Lytechinus pictus: one gene and its partners. The protein of the gene in region 1 binds, or shares a complex with, the protein of each later gene. Links are inferred from orthologs where the notes say so. Each region holds a gene or a part of one and is shown in the gene's direction. Other genes may lie near its edges.

Region 1 (6,907 bases):
ATTGGTATGGTTACATAAACAAAAATGAGTGAAATCATGAAATCTAAGCTGAAAACAATCACACTGTAGGTCACCAACACAGATAAGCACATGTGGGACAGTGTATTTTACTGCTTGGAAAATCTCATGCTTATTTTGCTAATTTTTCAGCAATTACATAATTTCTTCCATATTCCTTTGGAACATAATGGAAAAAGACAACACAATCTCATTTTATTAGATTCTGTATACCATTTTGTGAAATTATACAAATTACATTTACGTCAGCAGCTCGGTTGTACATACTCATGACAAGTTGGGAGAAATTTTGTATTCATGACTAGAGATCTGAATTGATAACCGTTCACCTTGTCAGTAAGTGGTTTGTGAATTTTTCAATTTTTATATTCAGAGAGCTCTTCATTAGTTGGTCATTGCGTTTTTGTTGATTGCTAAAGTCTTCAAAAGTGTAGGTCACTGCATTTTGTGAGCAATTTGCTTGGGTTTTACAGACAGGCATGTTCTACCTTAAAGGTCAAGTCCACCACAGAAAAATGTTGATTTGAATCAATAGAGAAAAATCAGACAAGCACAATGCTGAAAATTTCATTAAAATCGGATGTAAAATAAGAAAGTTATGACATTTCAAAGTTTCGCTTATTTTTAACAAAACAGTTATATGAACAAGCCAGTTACATCCAAATGAGAGAGTCGATGATGTCACTCACTCACTATTTCTTTAGTTTTTTATTGTTTGAATTATACAATATTTCAATTTTTACGAATTTGATGATTAGGACCTCCTTGCCTAAAGCACAAAATGTTAAAATAATGGAATTCCACGTGTTCAGGGAGGAATGAAACTTCATTTCACATGACAATGACGAGAAAATAAAAATATTTCATATTTCATATAATAAAATACAAAAGAAATAGTGAGTGGATGACGTCATCAGTTCCCTCATTTGCATACCGACCCTGATGTGCATATAACTGTTTTGTGAAATGAAGCGAAACTTTAAAATGTCATAACTTTCTTATTTTACATCCGATTTTGATGAAATTTTCAGTGTTATGCTTGTTGAATTTTTATCTTTTTATTTAAATCAAGTCTTTGTTGGGGTGGACTTGTCCTTTAACTAAGGGAGCTCTGTCACCTTTAGACAGCACAGCTCATATACCTAGATGAGGTCAAGACTTGCAGAGGTAACCATCGGGATGTAGTCTATTTTTTTTCAATTAATACAAATAAAATAAAAGTTTGTACTTACAGTCCATCGATTCTTTACTCTGTCATCTTGCAATTCCAGCCCATCAATTCACGACTCTGAGTTCTTTGCCATGATAGGATGTCAAATATTTTCTATTTTTGAATGGACAAGAACTTGGAATCACAGGCTGATGGGTCGAAATTGCAAGATGATAGAGTATAGAATTGTAAGTGAAAACTTTTGTTTTGTTTTTATTCAATTCAAAACTAGACGCTTTTTACAAACGCGTATCCCCTGCAATTTACTGCATCTATCTGAGCTATGCCGTCTCCGGCGGCAGAGCTGCCTGAGTTATGATTATGATTCAATCCTGAGCTCTACTGCCACAAAAATCAGAAACTGGTTGACTCGGGGAGCTCCGCTGCCAGACATCATGCTTTATGTTCATAACAAAATTCTCTTAAAGTTATAGACATCTTATAACATGAGATGGGAAAGTCTGGATCTATTAAAATCAACCATCTCTGTCAATACATGGACAGACTGACTCATTGACTGGATGCCAATTTTGTCTCTTTTTAATTTTAATATGGAAAAGAGGAATATTGGTATGCCTTTCAAGATGATAGAGTAGACTTAAGGTCCAATGTAAGTGTAAGTAGAAACTTTTGTTTTATTTGTATAGGTCTAATAGCGACTTTGTCATTTTAAGCCAACAGATACCCCCACGATCATGACAATTCTTGACTGCATCCAGGACATCCACACGAGTCATGACTGAGCTAAGCTGCCTGAGCCGAGCTCTGCCTTCTCGGCGCTAATGCAGTTTCGCACCAGGCACCACTAGCCGACATCAAGCAAATCTCCCCACCAGTAATTATTCACGAATGTCACAGAAAAGTCTCTTAGTCACATTTCGAGGTCAATATAAAGTAGGGACAGTGATTTTCCGCGATCGCGGAAAACGGACGGAATTCACGGAAAGGGCCTTTTGAAACGGAAAGTGGCATTTCAAACGGAAAATCACGGAAAACGTATTTTCCCTCAAAATACACAGAATAGCAACAGAAATTACTCCAAAATCACAGCAAAATGAGAATATTAAATGGCCAAAAAACCCCAGAAAACACGATCTCACTTCGCTACTATCATGACAATTCACACATCGTGACTGCACTCGACATCAGCACACTCGTTTGTACCCCGCACCGTACCCGTACCCGGCCGGCCGGGTTGGGCTTCACATGCACACATATCGTTCAACTACATGTACACGGTCGTGTGTTGCTGCCCTCTACGTTTGAAGATGTAACAGCACGATATCGTGGTCTTAAAATCCAAGATGGCGGATTAGGGAAAAGCCGTTGACTGATGATAACGATGTCCAAAAACCCCCAAAATTATCGATGAAATATCATTTCACCGTGAAATAATGCTAATAATATGAAAGGTGAGGATGTATGCATGCAAAATGGGTGTGTAAAAATATTTTATGCACCCGCATAGATCCGATTAGAACGGATTTTATTGTGTTGTTGGTACAGTAGCAGATACAAATTTTGACCAGTGCGAGTGTGCGTGTTGTGATTTTGCTATTGAATGTGTAAACGGAATTGTCACTTTTCCATGTGTACAAAGTCTATGGGGAAACGGAATTTCCGTTTTCTGACATGCTGAAATGGAATTTGAGATTTTCTGAAACGGAAAAGGCAATTTTTTGAAACGGAAAATCACTGTCCCTAATAAAGCAATATGCCCACCATTTTTCCAAATATCACGATCGGGAACAGCTGTATTATTTCGGCTCCAATCCCGACGTTATCGTTCGAATTCTCAGTCAAACATAGCTTCGCTTGGCTACGCCTACGCCGTAATTTTGATATAGACTGAAGTACATTGTAAGCGACCATAAGATTTGGTTGCAGCAGCTCACCCGTTTGTTTGCCGCATGTTCACACGATTTTGGTTGCTAACTTCAGTCCATATAAAAATTACGGTGAAGCCAAGCGACGTCAGCCGTGACCAGTGGGAAACTACATTAATAAAATTACTTAGCATCTTCTTTTCTGCAATGCAACTTTTTATTCATGTTAATTGTTATTGGTTAACAATAATAGTACATCGTCATGCCATGCCCATGACCTCATTGGTATTTTTTCTTTTATCGATCTCCGAACAGCGGAGGAACTGCGAGAGAGAGGTACTAGGATGCACTTAATGCACTTTTCACTTGTTTCAACTCATATTTATCACTAACCCATCATCACAAGCAGCTAGAGCATGCACTTAGCAGTCCATGCACAATCAAAATACCACCACATCCAGGGCAGCGCTGCGCGACATCTGCCCCGATAGAGATGGCGCTCACTGCACGGTTCACTGGCTCTGCATTGCACCCACACGCAATCCACACAAAACACGACTCACGAGAAATATGGTCGAAATAAATTGTTCACCACGGGTCATCCAAGATACACCCTCTAAAATGACAATCAATGAAATTCTCAATGCATCATTCAGTTATGACTAACAGCTGTTTATCACACCATTAATATGTAGAATTACAGATTTCAATGAATTATACGTACCGAATGTGACTAAAACTATGGGCTGGCTTGTCTGCTTTTTGACGTTCTCCTCTTTTTCAATCCACTCGTTTGGTACTCGTTCACGATTATTTTTTGACTCGGATCGATATCGAACGAGCCTAATCCGATCACGTTTAGAGATTCAGAAATTAAAGATTTAATCTTCTTTTTTATACAAGGATTTTTACTCTAAATTTTTTTGATTAAAATTATTTTAAAAAGATTTTTCTAATGATGTAGTTTATAAATAGAACAATCATAAGGAAAACATTATTTCAACCTCGTACACTCAAGCTGTGCAGTTTCCAAAGCAACGCTGCTATCTCTGTGAGATTAATACACAAAATCACAAATTTAGGACGAATTTGAGAGATTTTAAAATGTCAGATTACGACGATCAAGAGTACGACGAGGATCAAGAAGGGGTTGATGAACCTGAGATCGGCCAAGAAGAAGGAGGGGATGAAGAAGAAGGAAATGAACAAGAACAGGAAGAAGAAGAGGTAGGCCTACCGGTACGGTGCGACGAGTGCGATTACTAGCAAAATTTATACGGGAAAGTCTGGGTGGGATCTCCAATCAATGCCGCTAGTCGTAGTCGTCGTAGACCAAAAGCTTCGGTCTCTGTTATGTTGGTTGTTCCGCTGAACTCCGTTGGCTCCACTCACCAAATACAGAGTCTCAGAGACCAAAGTTCTAGCGCGATCTGTACAGGGGACTCAATGGCCATATGTTTATGTATTATTACGTTCGGATAAAACAGGGAAGTGAAGTTGCGCGACAGCCGAAGTAAGTCACTGTTTTTTCCCCTAGGCCCTAATTTAAGTTTATTTTTCCCCGTTTTTGTGCATTTCACTCAGGCCAAAACAGAATAATAATCTTTATTTTTGTACAGTTCTTTTTATGTATTTTTATGAAATAAAGACAAAAATCGATAATTAAGCCCCGTCGGGGGGGATTTTGCATTGTTAACACCCCTAATGGTGGCTGCACTATAGCTAGACAGGAATAATCGTCGTTTCTGGGGATTTATTCAACAATTTCTGACATTTTACTATCATCCCCATTCACCTTCTTCTTCTGTTGATTTCCTCCAGTCCTGGAGAACTGCGAGATCCAGTGGATACGCAGAAAAAGTGACGGTAGTGTGTTAGTGTGAGCTCGCATGTGGTATCTCATCCTCCCTTTTGCCGATTAACTGTCCACACTTCGATATGCTTTTTTACATCGAATTTATACTCTAAAGATTTATAAACTACTAGATATCAATCTTTCATATATAATCAATGAATAACTTTCAACGAAATAGATTAAAAGGTATGAAAATGGTACTTTACCGATGTTTACTTGCGACTTGGACACCAGAATCAATCCCAAAATTGCAGCCAAAATATGAGATATTTACAAACGAACGGAGAGTGCATCAACAATTTACGAATGTGATATCGATATTGCTTTCGATATTAATTAATTATGCGATCTGCTCCACATGCGAGCTAAACCGCTACGATCACAGGTAGCAGACGACATTCGATATATCGAGACATTAAAAAGTTAATAACGATAATGACGTCATTCAAGATGGCAACTTGCTAGAAAAACCGTCAGCTCAGGTGAAAATGTCTTGGATGAAAGATTTCTCGATCATCCAGAGGATTTTTATCAATAACTCCGGTCCAACGTAAAAAGCCTCTTAATGTTTATTTTGGCTAAATTTCTAAAGCCGACTTTACAAATTTACCACATTGCTATATTGTGCTGCTTCAGAATATTTCGTTTATTATCCACAACTTTGTTGAAGTTGATATCTGTTGTCTATGTATCCGCAACTTGATAAAAAAAAGTGGCCATCTGCAATGTTAAGAATATCACCAGGTTCTGGGGCTCCGCCCCAGACCAGTGGCGGCACCAAGGGGGAGGCACGGGGTAAATGTCATAAGCATCCTACTATAGCTGCAAAGTGCTCCAAAACAGCTTTTTCATCATCATCAAACTGAAAAAAGCCCCCACAAAGATACAGAAAGTAATAAAAATAAATATACAGTGCAGTGGAGTGAGTAAAGGATACCACAAAAGTGACTTGGCTGGGGATATCTGAATTTCAAAAAGAAAAAAAAAATTCAATAGCTGCTCTTTAATCCGATACCTCAATCGCAGAAAATTGTCAAGAAATAACAAAGTTCTGTTTCTTTGAAACAATGCTTGCATTTTGTTTGAAAAAACATGTTTTTGCCGGTTTCCCACCAAAGCTATCGCACTGTTAACAAAAGACTTCATGCGTGGCTGATCGTCGACAAAACAGAGTGTCCAGTCAGTATGACAGCTAGCCTGTTAAACCTCTTCATTTTTATGAAATTACTGGAATTCAAGCATTATTTCAAATTAACAGAACTTTGTTATTTCTCGATCATTTTCTGTTATTTTCTGTTATAATTAAAGTGCAGATATTGATATGATCCTTTATTAAAATTGATTTTCTTTTTGAAACTCAGACACCGCCCGGTAAGTCACTTTTTGGTATCCTTTATTAAACTTGATTTTGCTCACTCATGCGTGAATAAAGAATCATCTGCATCATTCCAGATGAAAGATGAGACTCTAGGCTTTACAATGAAAGGTAAATTGTCTATTATATTTGTGATTAAGTTATGATAAATCATCAACAAATTTTGGTTTTATTTCTTGTGGGATGCACTGTATACGTGTAACTAAATGAATAAATAGATGGATAAATGAACGAATAAATAAATAAACAAACCAAACATGACCGCACTCAGCCAATCATTTGATTAAGATGTTGAAGGGAGTTATTTAATGAAAGATGTAAGGATCGGTTAGAAATATAATCCGTTGTTATATTCTCGTTGACTTTTCAGAAAATTCCAGAGGTTCTTTTAACAGAAGAAGTGATAGCAGAGAATCTTTCTTTACTCTGCAAAACTGGAAATGGCTTAGCACATGCTTATGTCAGACTAGACGTGAAAGAGAGGTATGTTATCTGGCAATTTTTTTTTCCAGTGTGAACTGACCCATGGACAAAGCTGTTCTCTTTCCAAATATTTAATCATAATTGATATGAATGAACGTGAAAGGTAATAACATATAGGCCTACATGTAACAACATGCTTG
Region 2 (7,326 bases), on another chromosome or scaffold:
TCAATTCTTCTTGCAAAGTCCAATAATTATTTTTTTGTGTGTAATAATGTTCATTCGTGAATTTGTATTTGGTTTATGGTCCTTTGTATCATGTTTGAATTGGGAAAGAAAATATAGTCTTGAACCCAGGCGTGGTTCCTGTTAAAATGGGGGCATGTGTCCCTTAAACATTTTTTTTTCTTCTTTTCAAAGTGATCATAACGTGAAAATGCTGATAACATTTAATTTGTTGTTGTCATTTTTTGGATGGGGTGGGGAGGGGAAAAAGTGCCCCCTCCCTGTCATAATTCCTGGATCATCTACACTGATATATCAATTCCTACTATATATTTTTTTCCTCGCTCTTTCTTCCTTGAAAAAAATTTATCGTTATCGTTATCTCTCACTAATCGAGCACCTGCTTGTTTCGTATAATACAGTAGTGAATATAGGCATTTAACATCTTTTTAAACGTTTGCTTTTGTTTATTTTATTTCGTTACAGGTTATCCTTGGGAGTGTCTTCGTTCCTTGGTTCACAACGTGGACACCGCCCTCTATAGACGGCAAGGTAGGATTTTTTTTTTTAACTCTTGTTATTATTATCAGCATCCAAGTGATCTCATTTGACACCCGTTTGGGGGATAAAGTTGTCTTTCATCTCATATTGCTATAATACCACCTCTTTGTTTTAGATAATTCAAGTCATTTCTTACAACGGGGCGATATATTGACAAACACCTCCAACCCAAGAAATAAAAGAAGAACTCCACAGCAAATAATATCGATTTGATAGTTTTGAAAATTGAATGTTAAGTATCATGTTGCTCTGATAAACTCAAGGTTCAACCCCCCCCCACCTCCATATTGTTAAAGATTTGTTTTTTCATTTTGCTTAATCTATTGTAAGGAATTAACTTTTCATCATATCTGGACCCGTCAGTTGACTAATAGTTTTTTGCGTGTTCAACTGTATTACCCCTCCCCCTTGCAGTTCCTTGGTGACGTCACCCTGTCCCGGAAGGAGAACCTCTCTACCGACGTGACCTTTCAATTCCCATCAGGCAATCTGATCAAGATCTCGCCAAATCCGAAAAACCGCCTCCGGATGCGGGACAAGATCGCTTGCGGTTGGGTGGACACAACCGGTCAGCGGTTCGACATCAGCGCGCTGCAGATGTACCGGATTGGGGATGGGCTTTTCCCGCCCCCAAAGGCCTATCTTGAGACCTATTTTGCGGACGGGTACGAAGATGCGACTAGGTTTTTGAAGTTGTATCATATTTACGAGGAGAACGGGAAAGGTTATAAACCTCATCGGGACTCGTATGCTGCTATTCATTCGGTTGAGGATCTTCGGTGAGGACAAATCACCATGGATACAACAACCATCGAATCGTCAGGGTTTGGATTTCCGGTTATAGTCAGATCCGGGTGTCACGAGCTTTCATGGAATAATTTTCTGATACCAGACTTTAGGAAAAGCTTCGGAAATGCCTATAAAAGAGATATATATTGGCCCGTCATTGGGGAAAATGAAATAGGTTTACCATCGAGAAATTAGGCCTATATAATCCTCATTACCAGGTCCCTCGATCGCCGGTAGACCTTAAGCCGTCGGTCCTCTGATTACTTGCTTACAAGCATTATGCTAATTTCTTGGCAATCAGGTAAAACATCACTAACCACCAATTATTGGGCGAAAGCTCTGCTCCTTCTGGCAACTGTCATGCATGGTGGAAAAAGCATTTACCATAAGGCAATTTCCTGTAGCATATGTCGTCTGCTGGTCGTAAATCTCGTTCTACTCTGTCAGATTTGAAATTAGGAGATGATATTCGAGCAATAAGATAATAAAGTATAATTTTTACGAATTAAGTATGCTGGTTATTGTGAATCTAAATTTAAAAAAATCCCCTATAAGACCATTTCTACAATGAAAATTAATTTGTTTTTACTGTACACTTTCCGACACTTTGTAAAGTCGATCCCCCCTTCCTTTAATGTATGCCATGTTTTGTGCAAATAAAAACATAATTTTTATGATAATGATTGAATTGTGACTATATTTTTAGATTATCTATTTTCATTTATTTTCTCATTGGGGTTGACGTTGATCGATCAATATGGCATTTTTCAATCCCATTCACATTTTGATTTTCTTATGTCTTTATATTGTAACTATTTATATTTGTATGTATGTATTTTGTTTGTACTAATATATTTTTTTTTACTCAAGATGTGGAAAATAAATTGAATTGAATTGAATTGAAAGGAGAAAAGGGGGCGACAGGTTGACAGAGACAGAAAGAATGTGAGAGAGGGAGAGAAAGAGAGAGAGGGGAGAGAAGGAGAGGACCAAGGAAGAGAGGGGGAGAGCTAGGGAAAGGTTACAAAAGGGGAGAGATAAACAGACAGACAGGAAGAGTGAGAGAGAGAGTAGGGGGCGGGGGAGAGAGAGAGGGAAAGGTTACAAAAGGTGAGAGATAAACAGACAGACAGGGAGAGTGAGGGGCGAGGAAGAGAGAGAGAGGGGGGGGAGAAGGTTAGAAAGGGGGATATTAGAATGTGCATGTGAGGATGGGTGTGTCCGTGAGAGAGGTCGGGGAAAAAATGAGAGAGGGAAAGGTTAGAACAGAGAAAAGTGAGAGATAGAGTTAAAATAAGAGCGAGGGAGAGAGGGCGGATGAATAGAAAGAGAGGAGGGGGGGGGGGAGGTTAGAAAAGAGAGAGAGAGGGAGAGTGTGAGAGGGGGATCGGCCAGAGAGGTGAGGGGAAGACAGGATGGGTTTATATGGACATTATAGACCAAACCAAGATTTCCATCATAGTTGTTTTAAATTTATTTATCGGGGAAGGGCAAACCTACTAAATGGGAGCGTCTATTTTTTTTCAACAATAAAATTATATAATTAAACATACCCTCTTTTCTTCTTCTTCTTCTAATTTTTATTATTATTATTATTGTTATTATTATCATTTATTTATTCATTCATTTCATTCTTTTTTTCTTATTTTTCTCCTCTATGTATAAGTTGGGTAGTCACATGTGCTCTGCCCCATTTTAGCACCATTCCTGCCTATTATGCACTGACTCAGACAAAGTCAAGCCTTAAAAAACATTTGCCTACCAAATGTTCAAAAGAATGTCACAATAATAATGGCAATAATTATAATTAATATGTTAAGAAAGCCATATTCAGTGCTAAATCAATATATTTATAAAAAATAAAAACGGAGAATAGAAAATATGGAGAAAGATGGTGCTTTCCCACACCATCTTTATATGCATAAGTAAACAGATCAATATTGCTATTAAAGGTCATGTCCACCCCAGAAAAATGTTGATTTGAATAAATAGAGAAAAATCAAACTAGCAAAAAACTGGAAATTTCATCAAAATTTGATGTAAAAAAAGAAAGTTATGACACTTTAAAGTTTTGCTTATTTTTCACAAAACAGTGATATGCACAACCCAAATGAGAAAGTCGATGATGTCCCTCACTTACTATTTCTTTTGTTTTTTATTGTTTGAATTATACAATATTTCATTTTTTATTGATTTGACAATAAGGACCAACTTGACTGAATCATATAGTATTAAACAATGCTCGTTCAACATGTTCAGGAAGGAATTAATCGTTGTTTCACTTGACAATAAGGAGAAAAAATAGAATATTCCCTATTTCATATAATAAAATACAAAAGAAATAGTGAGTGGATGACGTCATCAGTCTCCTCTTTTGCATACCCGCCAGGATGTGCATATAACTGTTTTGTGATATATTAAGCAAAACTTTAAAATATCATAACTTTCTTATTTTACATCCGATTTCGATGAAATTTTAGCGTTATGCTTGTTGGATTTTTCTCTTTTTTTTAATCAACTTTTTGTTTGGGTGGACTTGTCCTTTAATTTAGGACGAAAATTATTACAGAAAATAAGACCGTTCTGTTTATTGCACCAATCTTCAGTTTTGCCCCGTTCACATTTTCTGCACCCGGCCGGCCTCCCGACAAACATATTTTGTAGGATCTAGCTTCCTCCCGGGGGGCGCATTAGGGTTAGTTTGGGGGCGATGATTTAATTTTCAGTTGAAGTTCATTAAAATATATTAATTTTGCAGGCCTATATGACCAAGCCCACGCAATTCCTTCCCCCCCTTTTTTTCTTCTCCCTTCTCTTTTTACTATTTTCAAAGTCGCCCTGCCCAACACCCCCCCCCTTCCGATACTTATTTTGTCCATTAGCCACGGAAAAATATCCGTGGGCGCGCGGCGGCGAGATACTTTTTAGATCGAAAAGAAAAAGTTTGAGACACTGACGATTCTGCGCATGCGTGAAATTCTATGTTGCCTTGTCAACGCTGGTCAATCAAGAATCTTTTTCCAATCTAGAATCCTACATATTTCTTCCGTCACGTAAGTATATTTTAGGAATTTGTTCTAAAAATAGTAAGAAATAATAAGTCTTCTCATTCCTAGGTTTCTGTATGTTTGCTTTATTGCAAAAAGTTGCATTTTATGTGTGATTAGTTTTCCCAGTTTCGAGTAAATTTATTTGTGTAGTCCCATACATAGAATTTCGTGTTGGATTTTTGACCCAGAATGATTTCTATTGTGTCGGTTTGTTTTTCTCTTGTAAAATGTAAGTTAAGACTAAGTGATATTCATATGTATCTTTAACGATTCTTATGTTTGTTGTGTTGGTGAGTTAATTCATGACAAAATCTGGTCGTGAGTCAGTGGAGTTCGACGTCTAAACTAAAAGTAAAACGTCTCACTCTCAAGAACAGAGATGTGAGAAACAGAAAAGAAAGAGAGAAAATTGCAAAATGAGTTGGCTCTTCTCCCCCTTGTTCTCTTTCGTCATGCAAATCTTTTTTACCTCTCCAGTCTTGTTCTTGTCCATTTTATTTATCTTCCTCCTGCACCTAGATCTATTCCTTTTTTACTTTCTCTTTTTCTTCCCATTTCTCAAAGTAGGGTGTCTGGAGAAAAAAAATATTTTTCTTATTTCAAGAAAATATCACATTTTCTTTGTGAATTTGAGGGGAAATGACCTTCAGACTGACAGAAATGTAACATTTTTGAAAAAAATCAAATTATTGGATGCAAAAAAGAAGAATGAAATTAGGTAAATTTTCAGCATTTCTCTGCCATAGACTGTGTAGTTAAGAAATGGACACACACAAATCCGAATTTTTAGCTTCCGAGAGCTGTTATAAATTTATTATTAATGCCAAAAACTTGTCCATAAAGAGTCCAATAGGATTTTTTATGCTCTATCTGATGGTATGATTTTTATAAAGATTTGGAAACCAGATCACAATGAAAAATTGCGACAAAGTGAAAAAAATTGTGCAAAACAGAAATTTCATTTTCCCATAGAAAACGCATGGAGAAATGGCAATCTCAACACACACAAAAATAAGGGTTTGCAATTTATCTCTAAATCCTTATTTAAAATGATCCTATAAACTTGTCCTTACTGTCAAAAGAAGCCCCTGAATTTTCTCTTTCCATACATGCCAAACACAAGTTAATAATCAATTCAGATCACATTTTTCTAGTAGCCTGAACTTCCCCGAAAAAAATGTGCCATATTTTCCCCTAAATCAGCCTGTTTTATGCTGACACTTTTCAGTGTGGCTTCAGACACCCTACTCAAAGACTCAAGCCTCCCCACTTGATTAAAAAAATTCCCCTTTCTCTCATTCTACAGACTCGCAAAATAAGAATCAAGATGCCAGGAGTAGGTGATGACGTACCTATGTACTGCTCACAGCAGATAAACATTCCCCCTGACCTACCTGATATCATGAAGCAGTTCACCAAGTCTGCCATCAGGACCCAGCCGGCTGATGTCCTTCAGTGGTCAGCAGCGTAAGTCCAAATCAGTGGCCTGTTTCGTAAAAATTTTTATGAAAAATTTGGGCAACAACAGATACTGAAATCCTTCCATATAATAGTAAATTTGTTACAGGAAAAGTGCATATGTTTTGATAACATTTCTTTATGAAATCCGACCCAGGATTTTAGGATGGGGCAGTGTCTGGATACTTATATTGATGTCATTTTTTTATAGCAGTAAATTCTTGACATGCATGCATTAATATAAATAATTCTAATAGTTTATATTTGTAATGTTGTCTTACATTACATTGCTTTCAAACAATTTATGAAATATTAATCACGACGTTCCCAGGATTTAATGCTCAATTAACTCCATCACAGAAAAATGTTGATTTGAATAAATGGAGAAAAATCAAACTTGCATAACATTGAAAATTTCATCAAAATCGGATGTAAAATAAGAAAGTTATGACACTTTAAACTTTTGTTATTTTTCATAAAAGATTGATATGCACAACTCGGTGACATATATGCAAATGAGACAAACAATGATGTCCCTCACTCACTATTTTTTTTGTTTTTTACTGTTTGAATTATACAATATTTTATTTTTTACAGATTTGACAATAAGGACCAACTTGACTGAACCATATAGTATTAAACAAGGCCAACTCCTCATGTTCAGGGAGGAATTAATCATTCTTTCACTTGACAAATGACAATGAGGAGAAAATAAAAATATTTCATATGATAACATACAAAAGAAATAGGAGTGGATGATGTCATCAGTCTCCTCATTTGCATACAAACCAGGATGTGCATATAACTGTTTTGTAAAATTATGCAAAACTTTAAAATCTAATAACTTTCTTAATTTACATCTGATTTTGATGAAATTTTCAGTGTTATGCTTGTTGGATTTTTCTCTTTTTATTATAAAAAATTAACTGTTTGTTGGGGTAGACTTGTCCTCTAAAACAACCTGTCTTGACATACGACAACTGGGTACTTCTGAAATGGGGTAACAATTATGAAATTAAGTTCTTTCAATTTAAAAACAGCATATTGTGAGCAGAAAACCATTTGCCTAAAATTCCCAAAATGTTTGTTTTGCTGAGCAATAACCAAAGTTATTTTCTTGGCAGCCCCACTTTTGACCCAGTTTAAATTGCAGTTAACCCGGAATCGTTGTCGTTACCCAGTGTCTTAAAAAGATTTTTAGCTTTTAATTTATTGGCTACCCAGTATCCACAAGGTTTGCAAGACTGAGATAATTGATTCATACTTTCAGTAAAACCAGAGCTTAGAATACAGCCTTTTGTCCTCATAGACTTGTCCTCATTTATGAATATTTAGTTGTTGTTACAGATAGCTTTTCCCCTTAGATTTCCGCATGAAAAAAACATTTGTGTGTTCCTATTTTGCAGATATTTTCATGCCCTTGCCAATGGGGAGACACCCCCAGTGAAGGAAAGGCTTGAGATGCCCATGG
Region 3 (6,988 bases), on another chromosome or scaffold:
ATTTTATTCAATAGCTGTTTTCATAGCCAAAATTGCTGCTATATAAAATCGCATAATGCAGGCGAGACTGCCAGATTCGTTCCACTTTAATTAGCTCATTACGCTAATTTAACATTAACATTGTTAAAAGCGAAATATAATGTTATAGATGAATTTCTTGTCATAGAAAACTATGAAATAGCCGTATAATTAGTGTTTTTTGGCATTCTCGATATAAAATGACAAAGGAATATATATTTATAGGTAATTATATTGCTCAGATATGTTAATTTGCACATCATGCTTAATTAAAACAATAATGTTTGTTAAATCGGAAAAATAATGTCACAAAAGAAATCATCATCATTGAAAACCATAGGATAGCTGTATTAACTTCTTTGAGGCATTCTCAATATAAAATGACAATGGAATATATATATTTCACATATGTATTAGCGCATTTGGCAAAATAAAAAAAAATTGAAAAAAATAATGTCACAAAAGAATTCCTCGTCATAGAAAATCATAGGATAGCTGTATTATTCATGTTTTCGGGCATTCTTGATATATAATGACAAAGGAATGTATATTCATATGTAATTTTATTGTTCATATATGTTAATAAGCTTATTATGCTAATAATAAATGAATTCCTCGTCATATGGAATAGTTGTATTATTCATGTTTTGGGGCATTCTCGATGTAAAATGACAAAGAAATACATTATATATATATATATATATTTATATATATCAAAGCTGGGGGCCCGGGTTCGATTCCCGGCAGAGACATTATTCGACATATCATTTTTTTTCCAAAAGGGTAGATAGCTCTAGGGAACCTTGATTTAAGCTACGCCTATACAATGTTCTCTTCATCCATTTCTTTCACAATATATATATATATATATATGTATACATATGCATGTATATATTGCACATTATGGTAATTAATGCATTATGTTAATTATTCTAATTAAGACATTGTCATTGGTTAAAAGGGAAAATCACTGTCATAAATGAATTCATCAACATCGAAATCATTAGAAGAGCTGTATTATATATGTTTTCAGGCCGTTGTAGACAGCACTTTGACGATTAAATCTACATATCACACATTATGTTAATTAGTGCATGCTAATTATGTTAATTACAGCTATTATATTGGTTAAAATTGAAAAATAATGTCATAAATGAATTCCTCGCCATAGAAAACCATAGGAGGGTTGCAGCAGCAGCATTACCTATACGTATTGGGCGTTTTCTCGATAGACATCCATAAATACGTATGTACACTTGTAAACGCTGATTAGCCCATTATGCTAATTTGGCTGATTACGATAATTGCATAACCTAAATATTTAAAAAAAATTATGTATCGATTCCTCGTCACGGGACTTCTTCGAAAAATGATATAATTTATTTTTTTAAAGTCTTTCTGATTTAAGAGAAGTAGCGTATTACATATATGCTAATTAGATGATTATGCTTATTAGTCTAATTAAAAAATTGCTCAAGGTTTCCAAGGTGGCAACTAAGCTGAATTTACTTCAATACCCATCTAGATTACAAATCAACAAAAAAACTTGTATTTAACAACTTTTCCAGGTCTTGTACTTGGCCTAAACATGAGACCGTCTCTGGACTATATATATGCGCTTAATAGTTGGAGAGAGGGGAAAATTTCAAAAAGATAATGTCACCTGACGTAAAACATAAACATGAACATATTCCAGTTTATCCTAGATTTTTACTGTCTTTCTCTATCCATAGTGTTTCGTATGGTTTCTGCGATAAGGAATGGTTTCATTAAATAGCAATAAGCATAAAAGAAAAAATTGTTTCCAATAAGTAAACATAATCAGGCCTATAGTTGCTTTTTTAAAATAAATATACAAATCAACATCGACAGTTACAAAATAATTACAGAAGCAAAGTAACAAATGTATTCATTTATATTCTAAATAGGGTGGTCTCTTCATTACATAAAGTATACACTGTTTTTCGAGAGAGCCCTGTACATACAAAAATACATATAACAATCATGAAACATTGACAATGAAGGATTAATTAAAAAGACAAACTACACGCTATGTAAAAGAATCGAAATCATGGGGGGGGGGGGAAGAAAGAAAATTATATACACAAAGTAACCGGGAGTTAAACATGAAACTTGAAGTTTGTTGGTGATTGGAGCCAATTCGAGCCAATCCGCATCACGCAAACGGATACATGGAGCTACTATACGTCGGAAGGTTAGACGTGCCCCCAGAAAACTAGATGAGAAGACGTGAAAAGATGACAAGAAGACGAGGAAAGAAGACAAAAAACGAGATCCTCAATCTTGTCAAGTCTACTTAATTAAGCGCGAATATAGACAAGAAGACAAGATACATTATCTCGTCATGTCGACTTATTTAGGATGAGAAGACTGATCTCGTCAACTGAAGTCGACTCAGGACGAGCAGATGAGAAGACAAGATCCTCAATCTCGTCAAGTCGACCTATTTAGGACGAGAAGACAAGGAGACAAGATCCTCAATCTCATTCGTTAAGCCGTGAGGGCCGGAGATGCTCTACCATAGGCGGATCCAGCCCCCCACTGGCTGAGCAAAAAAAAGAAGAAAGAAGGGGAAAGAAAGGGGGAGGCCGAGAAAAGGAAAAATAAGAGGAGGAAGCTAGTGAATAAAATAAGGTGAGGGGAAGACTGGAAAATTCGAAAAATCTTTTTCATATCACGATATAAATTTTTTGCTCGCGCTTCAAGTAGGGCTTATGAGATTACTAGTATGTTGTTTAATAAGAATAAAGCTAATTAAGAAGTGTCTGTTAGGACTACCCCTACAGAGAAATAAACAAAAGTCTCTTTGAGCGGCCAATCGGGGTAATATAGGTCAACAAAATGTTGGGCCCCTTTTCGGCGAAAGCTGGATTCGCCCCTGACTAGTTTAAATTCATCGTTAAAATTATATTAAGGACGTTCCACAGTTATGTTTGTGCGCATTATGATCTGCGCATAGTTTACACTCTGCGCGCTGACGTCACAATGGATGAACAGGTGATTAATTAGCTGCGGGTATGAGCTGATTTTTCTCATCTTCTGCACTTTAACTGCAGATCCGATGTGTTATTTCATGAAGCTATAAAGTGGAATTATTCCATGGACCATTCAAAAAAACATTCTCTACAATTTCAAAATACTTTACTCTGCAGTGCTGCCAAGAATCACGAATATTACCCCGAGTTTGAATAAATGGTAGAGTGGTTTTGATTTTTTCTTCACATAGATACAACGCATTCGGCGCATTTTTGGTGTTTTAAAAAGCACATTTGCTCTAATAAAAATGATGATAGTTTAAAAACAAGCACATGAACCCCTATTTTTTAATGTTTGTACCGCTTAGGTATACCTTCTTCTACAACTCTGCAAATTTTGGTGAAAATGACATGGATTTTGAATAAAGTGCAGCATTTATTGTACGTTTGTAGTTTGTAACTGAAATTTCACATTTTTTAGATTGGGATTTTGTTATCTTTTATGCAATTTTTAAGAAATGGCAGTGCTGTTAAACTTAAAATTGCAAACAAATAGCACTATAAATAGATTCTCCATTCTAACGATACAATTATTAACTCTCTTGCGAAATTTGATGACTTTTTCATGTATTTTGACTGAGTAATAGAGGTTTAAACTCATTGTAGTAATCTTGGGTGGTCTAAAAATGCCAAATTCTTTTGAATGCGCAATTTTTAAGAACATCAATTTGGGTGAACTTTGAAGCTCTATAGCAAAAAATCAAGCACATGGACCTATGTTAATTTTTGCATATTTCGAATATTAAGGTTCTAAAGTATCTATGTGCAAAGTTTGGTGAAAATGACATGGATTTCACTTTAACTGTGGAACGTCCTTAAACCGAAAGTGGAAAAATTATTGAAAGGTTACATCGAGAACAATAAATTACTAGCAATTTTGTCTCGAATTCCGCTTCAATGTTTACATACCGCCCTCTACGTTGGTTGGAAACGAGTAATTGTTGTTGTGATTACAGAAATTGTTTTGTCTTGGCAACGGAATATAAATCAAACCATAATTCCATCTTAGAAGTGATTATATCAAAGGGAAGCTATCATAAAACTGTGAAATATATTGTTTTGATTGTAAGTGTTTTCATTTTATAAAAAGTGTAAATTATTTTATTGTAGACGGTTCTTATACCGGAACATCAAAATAAAGCATTCGTTACTCGGCCCCATATGCGCAGTTTTGTGTAAGGTTGACTTGAAGCCTGTCGATCGTCGAGTCTAGTTCAATCCATCGTTCGATAAATATGACTGAGATAATTGTCTAGACTAGAGTAATCTAGAATTAGATCTAGGCCTATGCTAAGCCCTAATGTGAGACGGCTAGTTACATGTACATGATGTAGGTACTAACCCAGGCAACCGAGTTGATGGTCTATCAGTATCAGTATCAACAGATCAATGTGACATGTTTCCAAATTCCGCGGGAATAGACACTAATACGACAGAGAGTCAGAGTAAGACAGCTGGCACAGGCAGCCGTCTGTTTCGAGTTTTTTAACATTAATTTTTTTTTTTAAATTTCTCCTCTTACACAGACAGCTCTCTATCGTGCAGCCACCATTTAGGGGGTTAACAATGCAAAATCCCCCCAGACGGGGCTCGTCGATTTTTGTCTTTAATTTTATTTCATAAAATTTATTTCATTTAATTTTATTTCATAAAATTATATAAAAAGAACTAAATCTACGGTACCAAATTAAAGATTAATATTCCGTTTTGGCCTGTAATGCACCAAAACGGGGAAAAATAAACTCAAAAGGGGAAAAAACAGTGACTTACTTCCGCTCTCGCGCAAGTGCGCAACTTCACTTAGGCCCTACCTGTTTTATCCGAACTTAATACATAGTAAAACATACATGTAAACATATGGCCATGAGTCCCCTGTACAGATCGAGCTAGAACTTCGGTCTCTGTATTTGGTGAGTGGAGCCAACGGAGTTCAGTGGAACAACTAACATAACAGAGACCGAAGCTTTTGCTCTACTCCGGGAAGAGAACACAGACACAGTCCCTATGGGCGGCCAAAAGTGCCCAAATTAACGGTTTGAGAAATAAAGACATTTTCAGAAATATAGGCAGCCATCAGAGAAATAAAGACAACCTCATAAATATAGACAACCTCAGAATTAAAGAAAACTTCAGAAACATAAACAACAACAGAAATACAGACAACCGCAAAAGTAAACAAAATGACTGAATTATAGTCCATCGCGAATAGCGCGAGCTCGTCAAAAATAGAGAACACATAATTTATGTCAGAAATTCTGTAGAGCACAGAAATTCTGTAGAGCTCAGAAATAAAGTACAGCATGTCAAACAAACTTAATGAGAGGGCCTAATGATAGATTATTAATCTACGATATGGCTTCGTGCATTCAGTAAAGTTAACTACCACATGCACACGTACTATGCGAGCATGCAGTATGGTCACTAGCGTACCTAAGGGGGGGCAGGGGCAGACTCTCCCCCCCCCCTGACGAGTCACAAAGCAAAAAAAAAAGGAAGCGAAAAAAGGGAAAGAAAAAAGAAGAGGAAAAAGGAAAGAGAAAAAAAGGGGGAAGGGGAAAAAGAAGAAAGAGTTTAAGAGAAAGGGGAAAACAAAAACTGGACTGCAGACTGTCGGAAAAAATAATAAACTGTCGGGCACACGGGGCTGTTCCAACTGATTCGGTTTTCTAGTTCCACCATCTTTGTCCGGTAAATGTCAATTGAACTGTACACTTTTATCGGTAAATTGTGATTTTTACGCAATGCGACTTTTAGAGCTCTCTGTACCGATGGTGAGTACGGACTGGACTAGATTTCTACTAAGTACTTTCCCTGTGAAAGATCTAACCCTAAATCATGAAAATGGGCTAGAACTTCATTTTCCACATTTATAGAATATCAATTTCATTTTTAAACAAATGTTCATTAAATAAAAACGAGAAATATATTTTTAGAAGATGGGGAAAAAACTTGCCAATGTTTACATAGCCATGTTGCTTTCTTGTTAGTAGCTAAGCTGCAAATAGAGTCTGCCGCCCTCTTTAGGTGTCTCATAGCTTAGCTACTAACAAAGAAAGCAAGATTTGGCTACATAGATGTCGGCAAGTTTTTTCCTGTCTTCTCAAATATATTTCTAGAAATTTCTTAATGAATATTTGTTTAAAAATAAAATGGATATTATATAAATGTCGGAAATTAAGTTCTAGCCCATTTACTGTAAACGCTGTTATTTTCGCAGGATTAATAATTCATGCTTGGCGGCTTCAAAACATATTCGCGGGATCTTGAATTCACGCTGTACTCTCCATAATTACAAAGTCACTTCTTTCTTCCCCATCTGTGAATTGTTTTAATTAATATTCAGCAACAAAATTGCAACGAAATACAATAGTTACAAAAAAAACAAAAAACAGATCAATCGAGAGTCTAAGTGCAAGCAAGACAACCACAGCAAGTAAACCATCTAAGATCTAGATGCCCAAAGTTATTGTTTCAGACTAGTTAAGCAGGGGAGCGTTTCATGAAAGGACTTGACAGATGTTTTATCCGACAACTCCCATTTTATCCGACAGTTACCATAGTAACAGTGCTTCTCAGCCAATCAAAATCCAGAAAAGTTGTCAGATCTGACAACTTGTCGGACAAAAATGTTGATGAAACGCCCCCCAGATGTTGTATCGTGGCCTAACTTACGCTATAAACTACTAACTACTAAGTCTAACCTTAATAATGGATCATGGAGTACTTCGATGGCCTGGTTGAAGCTCGGAAGCGATGCAAAGGTACCGTTGCAGAGCGCTCTGTTCGATCCTAGCTGGAGGATGTATACTGCCGGGGTATGTCATGTCCACAGGCCAGGTCATATACTCTTTCAGCGATGGATCCATTAGAAGCAAACTCAAACAACCACTCTCTACCTAAACTGTGTCTCCTAT
Region 4 (7,513 bases), on another chromosome or scaffold:
AATTTCTTTTTTGGGGGAATCATGCATGGATATATAAATATTTATCAACTTTTGACCTTTGACTTTGGATATTGGATAATTCTGTATGATTATTTTAGTTTTTTTTATCTTCTTGCAAAAATTGCTTTTTGACATCAAAATCACCAACATGCAGCATTTTATCTCAAAGATACCTTTATACGATATATAGCCTATGTAAAAAGGTCACTGACCTTTGACCTTGAACTTTATGGGTTAGTATGCATTCTAGGTGATTAATTTTATTTTATTTGACCTTCCTGTAAGAATCTGTGCATTTTGACACCAAGATCACCAACCTGCGCCTTTTCATCTGAGAGATAGCATTATACCGAATATGGTATATAATGTAGAAAAAAGGTAATTGACCTTTGAAAGGCTTTGACCTTGAATTTTATTGTTTAATGTGCATTCTGGGTAATTAATTTGATTTTATTTGATCTTCCTATAAGAACCTCTGCATTTTGACACCTAGATCACCAACCTGCACCTTTTCATCTCAGAGATACCATTATACCGTATAAGGTATATAATGTAATAAAGGTCATTGAACTTTGAAAGGCTTTGACCTTGAATTTCATGGGTGAATGAGCATTGTAGGTACTTGATTTGATTTTATTTGATCTTCTTGTAAGAATCTGTGCATTTTGACACTATGATCACCAACCTGTAATATTTTATCTGGGAGATACCATGATACAGTATATTTAAAAAGGTCATCGACCTTTGACCTTGAAAAAAAGCACTTTCCCCAACCCGTATTCCTCCTAACTTTTTTTTGGTAAATGTTGACACCCATACCTACTCAAATCAGTCAAAAAACCATTTCCAATAATTTTATTCCAGTTGGTTACTAATTACGGGATACTAGTATCCCTAAATTAGACCCCAAAAGAGCCAATCTGGAATAAAATTATTGGAAATGGTTTTTTGACTGATTTGAGTAGGTATGGGTGTCAACATTTACCAAAAAAAAGTTAGGAGGAATACGGGTTGGGGAAAGTGCTTTTTTTCAAGGTCAAAGGTCAATGACCTTTTCGTATCTCTGAGATGGAAAGGCGCAGGTTGGTGATAATGGTGTCAAAATGCACAAATTCTTACCAGAATATCAAATAGAATAAACTTAAGTACCTAGAATGCACATTCACCAATAAAATTCAAGATCAAAGCCTTTCAAAAAGTCAATGACCTTTTTTACATTATATACCATACCGTATAATGGTATCTCTGAGATGATAAGGTACATGCTGGTGATCATGGTATCAAAATGTACAGATTCTTACAAGAAGATCAAATAAAATAAACTTAAGTACCTAGAATGCACATTCACCAATAAAATTCAAGGTCAAAGCTTTTCAAAGGTCAATGACCTATTTACATTATATACCATACTGTATAATGGTATCCCTGAGATGAAAAAGCACAGGTTGGTGATCATGGTGTCAAAATGCATAGATTCTTTCCAGAAGATCAAATGGAATAAAATTAAGTACCTAGAATGCACATTCACGCATAAAATTTAAGGCCAAAGGTCAATGACCTTTTATATTACATATGTATCTCTAAGGTAAAACGGTGCAGCTGTTCTTGGTGTCAAAACACGCATATTCTTACAGGAAGATAAAATAAAATTATGCATCGAGAATGCACATTCACCCATAAAATTCAAGGACAAAGGTCAATGTCCTTTTTAACATTAGATAATAATAATGGTATCTCTGAGATAAAACACCGCAGGTTGGTGATCTTGGTGCCAAAATCCAAAGACTTGTACAAGAAGATTAAACAACACTAAAATAAGTATAAAGAATAAACTTTCACCCTTGAAATCCTAGATCAGAGGAAATATATAATCTATATGATATAAAAATAACCAAAAACAATATCTTTTGTGTTCATATTTTATATCTGAATAATGTAAATAACCATGGCTAATTTGTAATGAAAACATGGAGGTTTCATAATTTCGGTCTGAAATAATGAAGGCCATGGAGAATGTATTTAGGGGTCAGAGGTCAATGAGCCCTTTCCAAAATATCAGTGGAAATTAAGTTTAAAAAGTTGATAACCAAATAACACTTTTTCATATACTGCGATGCATTGCCAAAAGCACTGAAAAAATAAATGAAATCAAGTATATAATTTGAAATGATTTTTATCTTAAGTAGCAACATTTAATGCATCATTATATCTAAACCAATGTTGTCGTGTCTTTTCTCTCCAGCGATAGGCCACTCACATCAATGCTATAATAAATACTATAAACTATTAGCTTAATCTTCTGAAAATGGATAGGACAGGTCTAACTCTCATGTCACAGCTAGCATCTTCTGAGAGCATTTCCAAACAGCAGAGGGATGATGATGATGATGAAATGAAGGCCATCATTAGAGCTGCAGCTTCTGTCATATACATGTAGTAAATTATATATATATCAACTTCAACAAAGGTGAATTCCCGTATAATTAGTATCTTTCATCAGTTCATTGCGAGCTGCCAGAATATCTTGTGATGCTAATGCTGCAAGACAAAACTTCATATCTGCTCTCTGCCGTACGTCACCCATGATGCTATTTCTACTAGGTATCAGTTTGTACAAGGATCATGTTTTTGGTCCAGAACAACTGATTGTTATCATGTACAAATGTGGCATATAACAATGCAATTCAAAAGGAGATAATAGCTTACAAGTACACATCCATCGACCTAACAAAACTCCTACAGCACCACTTCCAGTTCTTGAGAATCAAGATGTGCAATTATCAGTAATAATATAGATCCTGGTCTGATATCCCTTGACAGAACGTTAGGCTTTCATTGAATGGGCCAGATCAAAGTCTTGAAAATGTCAGAAGGTTTTCAAGAGTTCAATTACTCTTTGCTGAAGTTGAGACACTTAACTTCATCTATGACAAAAAAAGCTGCAGCTCTAATGATTGCCTTATTTTAATTCTTCGTCATTGTCCCTGGCTATATGAAAATGTTCTCGGATGATGCTTGTCATAAGACTTAGGCCTATCCTTTCCATTTACAGATTAAGTTATAGTGTTATAGTATTGATTGTAGCATTTGAGGTTAGTGACCTATTGCTACAGAGAAATTAGTACCTTGATTTAGATTTATAAAATGCATATCTAAATGCTTTTTTTTACACTTTTGTCAATGCATTACAGTATATTATTAAAAAAAGTGCTATTTGATCCAATTTTACCTCGAACTTGTATTTTGACATCATCATTGGTCAAGGATTCAACTATTAAATTTGTGTTCTTTTTCCACGCAGGTCAGTCTTTTTCCCATCTGAATCACTATACCTACGTGCCACAATCACGTTATATCGACCTATTTACTTAAATTCCCTGACACTATTGACATAGTTGATTGACCTTTAACTCCTAAATATATTTTCCATGGCCATTTTATATCCTTATTTCTTTCAGAGTGAAATTATTAGACTTCCAAATGTTCATTACAAATAGTTATCTTTCTTTCTATTATTCACAAATAAAATGTGAATATAATGGATTAATTTCTTTTTTGGGGGAATCATGCATGGATATATAAATATTTATCAACTTTTGACCTTTGACTTTGGATATTGGATAATTCTGTATGATTATTTTAGTTTTTTTTATCTTCTTGCAAAAATTGCTTTTTGACATCAAAATCACCAACATGCAGCATTTTATCTCAAAGATACCTTTATACGATATATAGCCTATGTAAAAAGGTCACTGACCTTTGACCTTGAACTTTATGGGTTAGTATGCATTCTAGGTGATTAATTTTATTTTATTTGACCTTCCTGTAAGAATCTGTGCATTTTGACACCAAGATCACCAACCTGCGCCTTTTCATCTGAGAGATAGCATTATACCGAATATGGTATATAATGTAGAAAAAAGGTAATTGACCTTTGAAAGGCTTTGACCTTGAATTTTATTGTTTAATGTGCATTCTGGGTAATTAATTTGATTTTATTTGATCTTCCTATAAGAACCTCTGCATTTTGACACCTAGATCACCAACCTGCACCTTTTCATCTCAGAGATACCATTATACCGTATAAGGTATATAATGTAATAAAGGTCATTGAACTTTGAAAGGCTTTGACCTTGAATTTCATGGGTGAATGAGCATTGTAGGTACTTGATTTGATTTTATTTGATCTTCTTGTAAGAATCTGTGCATTTTGACACTATGATCACCAACCTGTAATATTTTATCTGGGAGATACCATGATACAGTATATTTAAAAAGGTCATCGACCTTTGACCTTGAAAAAAAGCACTTTCCCCAACCCGTATTCCTCCTAACTTTTTTTTGGTAAATGTTGACACCCATACCTACTCAAATCAGTCAAAAAACCATTTCCAATAATTTTATTCCAGTTGGTTACTAATTACGGGATACTATAGTATATCTCTATGCTATCAACCTTGTCCTTGTACGATAATCACCTCGAACTTAATGAACGCAGAGGGCGCTTTATATTTTGTTACTTGGCAACAGAAGCAGCTGACATCGAGATTTCGTGGGCTAATATTCTCTGAAAAATCACCAAAATGCCTCAAAACGACATAGAGAACAGAATGATGGAGCCTCCTCAGGTCTATGTAGAAAGGACTCTTGCACTTATAAAACCAGATGCAATCGACAGAGCAGTCGAAATCGAGGAAATTATCCTGCAGTCGGGTTTCACTATTTTGCAGGTAAAATTATCAATATCACAGTCCCAGATACTGCAGAATGTGTCATGTTCCCTGTGGTTGCTGTGTCGTGATTGAGCTGAGTGACTGTGTGTGTCCTTTTGTTGGTTTGTCTTCAATCATGTTTTGTCGAATTGCATTTAACAAACCTTCTTCGAATAATTTTCCATCAAATACTCAGTTTGTTTCTTTAAACTAGGCCTTAACCTAGTTAAGTTCTAGGTAGGAATAGCCCTAGGCCCCTATTCCTTGTCTTTAGTTGTCGGGTCAACTCGGACCACGGGACATCTCGGACCGCGGGCCGAGTTGTCCCACCCATTACGAGATTTTTTTTTCACAAATCTGCGTCTATTTTTCCGTCATTTCGTAATTTCTTGTAAAGATTTTCTAGAGATATGGTCTGATGGTAATGACTAATGTTCTTCACTTTCTATTACTTTTTTTTCGCTGAAATAAAAAAAAAGTGTAATTTTAGGCGTTTTTCGACAGCTCGCGATTCCCATAGGCGCGCGTGTATTAACTGTGTCGGTGCTCGGCTCGGCCCCGCTCAACAACTGACTTGATTTTGTGATCATTTATCCTCAAGTTACCACTTTTATCGCAGAAGATGGACATTCTTGTATTCCATTAACTCCATTTTCTCATCACAAGAATAAAATTTGGTGCATTTGCACGATTTTGTTAAAGTTTTTCACCTTTTCTCTCTGGTCGCAAGAAGCGAACAACCGATGAACGGTCCGCTGCTCTTCATCGCAATTCTACGTAGCTCGGCCGCCTAAACTGGCGGGGTGGGATTCAGCCCGAATCCCCAATGGAAGTGGGCGTGCGCAGTCAAAGAGCTGAGCTTGACTGAGTGAGAGAGTGAACTAGAGCTTGAAGCTTGGCAGTGTCGTATAGGTTCTGCCTTTTTTTTGTATATATTTATAAGCCTATATATTTTTTTTATTTTTTCTATTTTTATTTTCCCTGGTGTAGAGCTTTAAGATAATAATTTAATATACTTCAATTTCTTTGACTGAGTGTGACTGTGGTGTGGATGTTTGAGTCGCACAAAAAATACTTTTACGATCAGTGTGGGGGCTCGGGGCGATTTCACTCCTGCCCCCGAAATGTGAAAAAATATTCGCAGTGTAGATGTGTGGGTATGCCGGGCTGAGGGTAGCCATCAATAATAAATGTTTATTTGGGGGCTTAATTTTTAACTTCAAATTGATTATTTTTAGGCCTATTTTTTTTTTCATTTTATTTTATTTTTTTATGTTGAGTGTCCCTGGTGTAGAGAGCTGAGTTTTAAGTTGTAATAATCAATATGCTTCAATTTCTTTGACTTTGAGTGTGACTGTGGTGTGGATGTTTGAGTCGCACAAAAAATACTTTTACGTGGATGGGGGCTCGGAGCCTCTTCACTCCTGCCCCCGAAATGTGAAAATGTTCTAGGTGTATCTGTGTGGGCATGCCAATTTCATTTTTATTTTTTATATTGAGTTTCCCTGGTGTAGAGAGCCGAGTTTTGGAGATGGTGAGAGGGGCGAGGATGTGAGGGATGGCGATGATGAGGGGTGGGCCTTGATGATGAGAGGGACGAGGAGGTGAGAGATGGTGATGATGAGAGGGATGATAATTTTTGATGACTCTTAATGAGAAGGGGGGGGGGGTGATGAGAGGGATAAAGGTAATGAAAGAGATGGAGATGAGGATGATGAAACGGACGAGGATGTGAGGGATGGCGATGATGAGGGATGGGCCTCGATGATGAGAGGGACGAGGAGGTGAGGGATGGCAATGATAAGAGGGATGGGGATGATGACTCTTGATGAGAGGGGTGCATGGAGATGGTGAGAGGGACAAGGGTGTGAGGGATGGGGATGATTATGGGAGGAAATCCCAGGGGGGGACGTGTCCCCCTACCAAAAATAGTAAAGGGACACAATATCAAATGTCCACCCTACTATTTTTCTTCTTGTATGATGGAGAACAAAATAATACATCATTCACAATTGAAATAATACATGTATTTAGGACTAAATTAATGACCTTATATTTGTGAAAACCCCCTTTTTTTTCTTGTCAATTATTTTTGGGTTATAAAATGACCCTACATTTTGGGCGATAACCTTTTTTTTTAATGCTTGTCAAATTTTCCAGCCCCAGGTCCCCCCTGGGGACAGATTTCCGCCCATGGGGATGATGATAGGGACGAGGATGATGATAGGGATGAGGATGATGGAGAGGGAAGGTGAAAAGCCGGCAGAGATGGATTTAAGAGAAAAATTCCGTCCGACGAATGCAGTCATGAAGATTCCGTCCCACATGATAACCCAAAATTATGGCTTGATTTTTGTTCTAAATCATGTTATGTGATGAAAATCACACTAGGCCCTACACGTATTTTGGTTATATTGAAAGAAAATAGGGGTAATATTTTTTCCAATTATCAATAAATTAAATTCTTCATTCAATAAAAATGACGAATTTATGATTTTGAATTTCATTTCTTTTATATAGCATGTGGTTTTTCTTTTTTATTAAATTTATTTTACTTTATTTTTCATCACTGTATCATGATTTTTGTCTCACCTGGATAGCAGAGTGAGACTATAGGCGCCGCTTTTCCGACGGCAGCGTCAACATCAAATCTTAACCGAATAAGTTTCTGAAATGACAGCATAACTTAGAAAGTATTTGGACATAGTTCATGAAACTTGGACATAAGATTAATCAAGTATCACTGAACATCCTGCAGCGAGTTTCAGGTCACATGACCAAGGTCAAAGGTCATTCAATGT

What was found.
Region 2: leucine-rich repeat-containing protein 23-like (region 1) and ropporin-1-like protein share a complex: the UniProt entries of both Homo sapiens proteins name them as parts of the axonemal radial spoke complex. The link is inferred for Lytechinus pictus from reciprocal best matches to the Homo sapiens genes LRRC23 and ROPN1L.
Region 3: leucine-rich repeat-containing protein 23-like (region 1) and DPY30 domain-containing protein 1-like share a complex: the UniProt entries of both Homo sapiens proteins name them as parts of the axonemal radial spoke complex. The link is inferred for Lytechinus pictus from reciprocal best matches to the Homo sapiens genes LRRC23 and DYDC1.
Region 4: leucine-rich repeat-containing protein 23-like (region 1) and nucleoside diphosphate kinase homolog 5-like share a complex: the UniProt entries of both Homo sapiens proteins name them as parts of the axonemal radial spoke complex. The link is inferred for Lytechinus pictus from reciprocal best matches to the Homo sapiens genes LRRC23 and NME5.

What each region holds. Positions count from the first base shown.
Region 1 is NC_087258.1:18,346,244-18,353,150, forward strand, and holds the start of leucine-rich repeat-containing protein 23-like, read left to right. Parts: upstream 1-3,878; 5' UTR 3,879-4,158; coding exon 4,159-4,281; intron 4,282-6,654; coding exon 6,655-6,767; intron 6,768-6,907. UniProt on the Homo sapiens protein: Essential for sperm motility and male fertility. Plays an important role in the proper assembly of the third radial spoke (RS3) head and the bridge structure between RS2 and RS3 in the sperm flagella.
Region 2 is NC_087253.1:25,059,262-25,066,587, forward strand, and holds the start of ropporin-1-like protein, read left to right. Parts: upstream 1-4,312; 5' UTR 4,313-4,400; intron 4,401-5,703; 5' UTR 5,704-5,724; coding exon 5,725-5,864; intron 5,865-7,261; coding exon 7,262-7,326. Other genes in the region: patatin-like phospholipase domain-containing protein 4, read left to right, coding at 484-549, 973-1,341. UniProt on the Homo sapiens protein: Functions as part of axonemal radial spoke complexes that play an important part in the motility of sperm and cilia. Important for male fertility.
Region 3 is NC_087262.1:9,009,056-9,016,043, reverse strand, and holds the start of DPY30 domain-containing protein 1-like, read left to right. Parts: upstream 1-3,977; 5' UTR 3,978-4,139; intron 4,140-6,988. UniProt on the Homo sapiens protein: Functions as part of axonemal radial spoke complexes that play an important part in the motility of sperm and cilia. Plays a crucial role during acrosome biogenesis.
Region 4 is NC_087262.1:20,226,925-20,234,437, forward strand, and holds the start of nucleoside diphosphate kinase homolog 5-like, read left to right. Parts: upstream 1-4,487; 5' UTR 4,488-4,583; coding exon 4,584-4,730; intron 4,731-7,513. UniProt on the Homo sapiens protein: Functions as part of axonemal radial spoke complexes that play an important part in the motility of sperm and cilia. Does not seem to have nucleoside diphosphate kinase (NDPK) activity.